Mus musculus: one gene and its partner. The protein of the gene in region 2 purifies or fractionates together with the protein of the main gene of each other region. This does not show direct contact. Links are inferred from orthologs where the notes say so. Each region holds a gene or a part of one and is shown on either strand. Other genes may lie near its edges.

Region 1 (3,650 bases), on a different chromosome or scaffold from region 2:
CTCTTGAGCAAGTCGCTCAATGACACGCCGGTAGTCCTCCACCAGCTCCTGAAATCTCTCTTCCAGCTGCTCATGCTGCACACTTATTTCTATCTGGTTCATCTGATTTGTCAGCTCTTCTGGTCTCAGGCATTTCTTCATCTTGGCAAGATCCCTCTGCTTTTTCTAAGTAGGAAGCAATTATTTTTAGATGGAAAAAAAAAAGCATTTGCTCATATAGCTACAATTGAAATCTTTAAGTAGTAGGGGCTAGAAATGGTTCAGTAGTTAAAAGCACTAACCGTGCTTAGAGGAGGGCCTGGGTTCAAGAGCACCCATGCCAGCTCAGCTCTAGTTCATAAACCCAGACACATATACATAAAACAAATTAATTAAGAATATTAGTGACGCCAGGCAGTGGTGGCACATGCCTTTAATCCCAGGATGCAGAGGCAGGCAGATCTCTGAGTTCTGGTCTACAGAGTGAGTTCTGGGACTTGGAGAAATTCAAGAGACAGTGAGCTAAGAAGCTAAGATCCAATCTCAGACTAACAGTCTGGTTGGAATTCTGAACTGTTAAGTTTGTTTAGTCTTTCAAAAGGCAGTAGAACAACTCAAACTACATTAAGCCCATTCTAGAACTAATAAATGTTCCTTAAAAAGAACCCATTTATAATTTCTGACTACCAGGCAAATGTGCAATACTCATTACTTTAAATCTATAATCATACATTCTAAGACAAAGTGGAATAAAGTACCAGAGGTAAGTATGTATAAACCATCCACCCACCCAACTGAGACAGGCTCTGTTTGGCTGAAGTTGAAGGTACGTAAGAACTCTGTTGGCTGGAACTGCTATCTACCACCTGCCTCAGCCTCCTTCCGTGAGCTGGGATTAAAGGCACACATCACCTTGCTCGACTTAGAGATAAACAAGATTTTATCTCACCTCCCAAAATCTCACACAAACACAACGAATTTGATGCTCAAATCAAACTGCCCTTTAATATTTTAAAATATACTAAAATTATTAAAAACAGCATTTTAATATTCTTTAAACCATGTATTCTACATTGTAAATGTATGTATGTGTGTGTGTGTATATATGTGTGTGTATATATATATATATATATATATATATATATATATATATATATATATATATGTTTCACAAATTAAGGTTTTGAGACAAAGTTTCAGAATTTCCAACCTCCTGTTTCTACTTGAGTGCTTAGATTGTTAAGTATGCAGCACTGCTCACAAGCTATGAAGTGCTGCATGCTAGGCATGCACTCTACTAACTGAGCTACACCCCCAACCAGACTCTGAACTCTTGACCCACACTGCCTCTACTTCTTAAGTGCTGAAATCATAGGTACGTGCCACCTCTTTATAGCCCTGGCTGTCCTAGAACTTGCTCTGTAGATGAGGCTGGCCCCCATCTCACAGAGCTCTGCCTATCCCCACCTCCCGAGTGCTGGCATTAAAGGTGTGCACCACCACCCAGCTTTGCTTCTCTCTCTGGTTATGAAGTGTGTGTCTATGTGAGTATTTGTATTCAAGGATGCCCAAGGATAACATGGGCCATCCTCCTTAGAAATGCTGTCCACTTCCTTTGAGACAAGTCTCTCACTAGCCTAGAGCTCACTAATTAAACTACAAAGGTCAGCTGGCAAGTCATAGGGATCTTGTCTCCAGATCCCTACGCTCTTCTAATATTAAGCACATAGAACCACACTAACATTTTTTCATGAGTTCTGAAATTAATCATGCTTGCACGGCTCTACCGAATGAACCATTTCCTATCCTGTACAAATTAAGGTTTTAAAGAATGTGTTTAAAAAAAACCTTCTAAATAGATTTTGAGGAAAATACATGCAAAAATATCTGACAAATTGAACAAGCAATGTAAGATAAACTAAGGATGTATCTGGGCATTCAGATTTTTAAAGGATATATATAATTATATATACTTATATATTTTATTATATTTATGTTATTATATATTATTTATGTAGTTTTATATTATATCTTTCCTTTCCAGTCCTAGCTTTCCTTTCTTAAACAGTGAATATAATATAGCCAAAGAACAAAATGGTTAAAAGCCTGGAGGGATGGCTCAGTAGTTAAAAGCACTGGATGCTATTGAGGACCAGACCCCATGTGAGCAGCCTACAATCTTCTGTTAACTACTGTTCAGGAGACCCAGCACTGCACTTCTAGCCTCTGTAGGCATCTGCAATCATGTTGTTCATATTCCTCCAACACATACACATATAAAGAAATCGGTATGGAGAGATTATCGGTGGCAAAAAGCACTTGCTCTTCCAGAAGACTCAGATTCAGTACTTAGCAGCCACATGGCAGCTCTCAACTGCCTGTAACTCCAGTTCCGGGTGATGCCCTATTCTTGTCCCTACTGACACCAGGCATGCATGTAGTACACACACACACACACACACACATGCTGTGACTCATAAATACACTCAATTTTCCAAGTCACACGCACACTCGGGTACCAAAAGCGTCTCAAAGTCTGACCTTGTAAGGGCTAATTAGTCTTCTTTTAATATCCAGTCTGTAGCTTCTGTATTGCTCAGCATCGCTCATGTCAGTCACCAGCAGTCGAAGAATTTCATAAACCCTTCTAGCATGTTGCTAAACAAATGAAACAAAAAAATGTGAATACTTTCATGTTATGAAACAAGTTTTTCTAAAAGAACACATAATTTATCTGTTAATAGACAAAGAATTATGAAAACCAGCGGAGGAAAAAATAAAAGATAGTCTCTGCTCTCAAGAAATTAGTAGCCTCGAAGATAGTAACAAGTGACCGAAGTGTTATAGGACACGATGTTAGATAGCTTGGGACTGAGAAATGGCTGAAGAGGATTCTTGTGAGAATGAAAAGTAAAATCTGCTCTCACTCAGTCTCTCTCCCTCTTTTGCACGCATTAATGCTTGTGTGTAGCTCAAGACCTAACCCAAGGACTAACATACCCTAGACAAGTGTTCTGTCTGGCTATATCCCCAGCCTAAGCTGAATCTAAGAAGAAACATTATCCTACAAACGGGAAGGAAGGCACTACCTGTACATTTTTGCATGTGCACATAGAACATAGCAGCTTGTTACTGCTGGAGCATTTTAAAACAAAAGCAATAGAAGGAAGACACTGGAGAAGAGGACTGACAGAACCAGCCTCCAACCTAGTCGCTATCAAGTTTTTCAATAGGAGCAAAAGTGATGTGCACAAATTTTTGCTCTAAGTAAATAATTTTTTTAGCTGCATACAAATGGTGCAAAAATGAGAAATCAATTAAGCCACTAGAAGCTGCTCAGTGGTGGACCACTAGCCCAGCAGTCCTAGGCCAAAGTAGAGAGGGGTGGAGGCAGAGAGGGAGGGGGAAGGAGGAAGGAGTATGGAGGTGAGAGGGAGGAGGGAGAGAACAATTGCTTGCACAAACATTCAATTAAAAAGCTAAGCTGTGAGACTGAGGAAATAACTCTTGAAGAACTATGATCAATTCCCAGCACCCACATGGGAGCAAAAAACTACCTATAATTCTAGTTTCAGAGAATTTGATGGCCTCTGAACTCTGAAGGCTCCTACACACACGCAGTACACATATGATCAGGCATACACATACACATGCACACAAAAGAGAAATAT
Region 2 (3,750 bases):
CTCAAAATTACCTGTAGAGGAATTTCTACGTTGATCAGTAACTTAACAAGTCACAGTACAACAAAAGTATGGGCCCTAGAAACGAGCTTCTGCAGGGTAAATCAACGCCCATCTCCTTGCTCCACAGAGCCTCTAGATGGAGTAGACAGGAATGGCACCTTTGTCAAGGGTTCCTCTGCAGCTTTGGAATGACTCAGCTTAAAATACCTTAAAATAATGGTGCGCTGGTTTTGAATTGTACTAGAGGAAGGCATATTCTTGACTTGAGTAATAACACTGTTGTGAAAGGATCCCTGTTTAACATGGAACCCTGTTTGGTTTCTGTGGGTGGCTGGTTTCGAACTATCCAGTGTAATGACTCTGTAACAATATCCTAGAGCCTATCTTCCTCATACAATGTGGACCTAAAATGGAAGCCATCATATGAGAAACACCTGTAGTGTAAAGAACTTCTAATGCCTCGAACACTGCACTGAGTTAGGATGGACTCAGCCATGATCTTACTTTATATTTGATCATTTGTATATAAATTGGCAGTTTGAAAAAGAAAATTAAAATCAGTGTTGGGGTTGGAAATAGGTCTGATGTGGAAATGCTGTTACATTTCAAATGGAAAACACCCTTACACTTACATTAATCATCACAGTCTATTCAGAGACTACTATATTTTAATGTTTAGTCAATCTTCAAAATATGTCCCACTCACTAAATGTATGCACGTTATAATTTACATACGTATTAAAAACAGCAGGGTACGTTTTAAGTGATGGTTAGCCAAAGGAGTGAAGAGAAGGGGCTGTGACTTCCTTTTTACAATTTTTAAAGGTTTATTGCAATGGTTTTTATAATTAAAGTTAACATTCTACATGAAGTACATTGAAGAGATTATAAACTTTTAAATTAAAAGAGAAATTCTTTTCGTCATGATTAGGATAATACAAGGCATTTTGTCGAAATACTTTCAAGTCCCAAGATGTCCTCCTAGTTAACTAAAATTTAACACCAATGAAGTTAAACTTTTTGTTTCAAATGTTGAAAATGAAGCATTGATTTTAATAAAATCTAAGAAAAGCGTTAAGAAGCCATATTTTAGCTTTCTAAGTTCTGTATTACCTCACTATTTCGCATTTTTTAAACCGTAAAATGTACTTCAGAAAGGATTTTGCCTTCTATCTCCCAGCTAACGTTTGCATTTTCTCCATCTGCTTGGACGTGGAGTTATTTTAATTGCTTCTTCTTCACACGTTCTGGAGAAAGTCTTTCAGACTTTCTAAACGCCAGAGAAGTGCCTGGAATTGGTTAAGCACCCTGCTTCTGCTCTAGGGTGCCATGGAACTTCCCAGCCCCTCACCATTTCTCTCCGAGAGGTCTCTGTCCCCGGGGAGAGGCGGCGCACAGCATCCCGGGCGCCCGCGGAGAGCACGGCCGCCCCCCGGGAGCCAGGCGCCGAGGGGCCGAGCCCAGCGCCCGCCTTCCGCGCTGGTTGGTGGAGGGAGCCGGAGAGCGGCGCGAGGACAGCCTCGGCGGGGCTCGGGCGGGAAGGCGCGGGCCCGCTCGCCCCCGGCGGTCCGGAGCAGGCGTCGTGCCGCCGGGTAAGATGGCTCCGCTTCCCACCGGCCCAGCTTGCTCCCCACCGGGCCGTGGGGCCCTGGGGCCGCCGAGGCCGCACGACCCCCCGCCAGCGCCGCGCGAGCCGGGGGCCGCCGAGCGCCGCCCGCCGCAGACAAAGCTGACAACATGGCTCCCTCCGCCCGGCAAGTTGCTCGCAAGTTGCGGCGCGGCCGGCGTCCCTCAACTTCAAGTTTCCCTCGCATGGCCGCCCTCCCGCCGGCCGCCGGCCGCGGCCCACCCCGCGCGAGGCCGGGCCGGGAAACTTTAACGTCCGCCGCCGCAACTGACAGCCCGGCGCCACTCGCTCACCTTCAGACAGGTCCTCGATGCACTCGAAGGTGATCTCGAACTGGAACGGGTTGTAGAAAGGCGACGGGTTATCCAGCACCACTACATTGTTCACCTGAACCTTTGCCATATTTTGAAGAAAACACAAACAATGGGGCCGGGGCTGGCGGCACCACCGAGTCCCGCGCGCGGCCGCTCCGAGAGCGCAGACCCCCGCCCCGGCGCGGCGCGGCCCGACGTCGTGCAGCTGCGACTTGAGAAACTTTTTTTTCCTTTTTATTTACACGGCGGCACTCCACGGTGTTTTGCAGCTTTCCTATTTCACTAAACTACAGCCCATTCTGCCCTGATAACTAGCAGCGTTGCCCGCGATTGGCTGCCCCCGAGCTCTGACCCTCCTCCTCCAGCGAGGGCCGCGGCGGCGAGCAAGATGGGCTCCCGCTCGCAGAACGGACGGGAAACTTTCACTGCGGCTCCACCTGCTGGTGCGGACCAGGACAAAGGCGCAGAACAAAGTGAGTGGAATAGGGGCTGGGAGGCCCGCGCGGAGGCCGCCGGCGGCGGGGGAGGGGCGACGCAGGCCCCGCCCCCGCCCGGCGGGGCCGCGCCACACGTCGGGCGTGGCCGCGGCGGGACGGAGGGGGCGGGACCCGTGGGGTGGGCGGGGCCGGCGGTGGAAGCAGGAGGGCGCGAGGCGGCCCCGTGTGTGTGCGCAGCATGGGCCTTGGGGTTTTTCGGGTTTTCTTCCAGCCTTTAACGCTTCCCCCACCAGTGCCGGCGGCTTTGCTGGCTCTGCTGGATTTAGCAGATAAGGTGTGCTTTGCAGCCCTTGTCAGGCCCAACTAGCTGTCTGTGCTTCTCGCAATCGTAATGGTAGAGAATAGGGAGAAGGGCTGGTTGCAGTGGGAATAAATTGCATTTTTATAGCCCATGTCAGCTCGAAAGGAGCAAGCCATTTTGGAATTCAAGTTCTTGGCCACGACAGTGCGGTGAAATAGATACAAAATGAGGGCGGGGTGATTTTACACACACACACGCAGGCTAGAAAAAAAATATGCGATCTTCAGCTGCATGTTGGATTTCTTCCCATTTAATAACTGAAAAGATGTAAAACAAAACAAAAAAAAAGAAATAAAAGGGGGAAAACGTGATCAGTTACAGCGAGGCTTCTGTTGTTGGGGGGGCACAGAGAAAGAAGTCAAAAGTCGAGAAAATGGAAGTGTCTGAAGGCCAAAGGACAACAAATGTATTTTTGGTGGAATATGAGAAAGGAGAAAGCACAGATAACATGCCATTTGCTCTTCAAGGCATTTATAACAAACATTCATAAGTGAAAAAGTGCAGCACACCAATTCTGAGGAGACCTTCCATGCCTGTGACGCCTGTGAGACCATTTCAAGGCTGACTGGAGGAAAAGTTGCTTGTTTATGGTACTTAGCCACTGTGGGTAGACTAGGAAACAGGAAACGGAAACCTAACACCTTTGTGAATGTGAACTGATTCTTTTTACTGTGGAGGTGTTACTCATAAACCATTGGGTTCTTTTCTTTTTCCTTATAAATGAAACTACTAAACTATTCAATAAAATCCGGAGTGAAAATTATGTCTTAGTATTAATCTGCAAGTGAAGTTTCTGCTAGTGTGCAGAATTTAATTAATCTTCCTTGGACAGGTTGAGACTCAACTGGATTGCTGTGGATGATCTGTCCTTGTCCGAAGACCTTTAGTTATCATGAAGCAGGGCCTTCCATGTTTAAGGAGATTAAAGTGGGGAGAGAGCCACTTTTATTGTCAGTACGCTGGGCAATCGGTGTCCATCAGTTCAGTCACCATTGTTTTTGTGCATCAGAG

The links. Proteins that work in one complex are often made in the same cells at the same time.
Region 1: the proteins of Asf1a (region 2) and Hat1 purify together in Homo sapiens (affinity purification with mass spectrometry; 4 studies listed by BioGRID and IntAct, counting the BioPlex papers as one, with this or other methods). This does not show direct contact. The link is inferred for Mus musculus from reciprocal best matches to the Homo sapiens genes ASF1A and HAT1.

Annotation. Positions count from the first base shown.
Region 1 is NC_000068.7:71,437,683-71,441,332, reverse strand, and holds part of Hat1 (histone acetyltransferase type B catalytic subunit), read right to left. Parts: intron 2,638-3,650; coding exon 2,521-2,637; intron 166-2,520; coding exon 1-165. UniProt on the Homo sapiens protein: Histone acetyltransferase that plays a role in different biological processes including cell cycle progression, glucose metabolism, histone production or DNA damage repair. Coordinates histone production and acetylation via H4 promoter binding.
Region 2 is NC_000076.6:53,595,469-53,599,218, reverse strand, and holds the start of Asf1a (histone chaperone ASF1A), read right to left. Parts: upstream 2,259-3,750; 5' UTR 2,030-2,258; coding exon 1,921-2,029; exon of another isoform or gene 1-1,920. UniProt on the Homo sapiens protein: Histone chaperone that facilitates histone deposition and histone exchange and removal during nucleosome assembly and disassembly.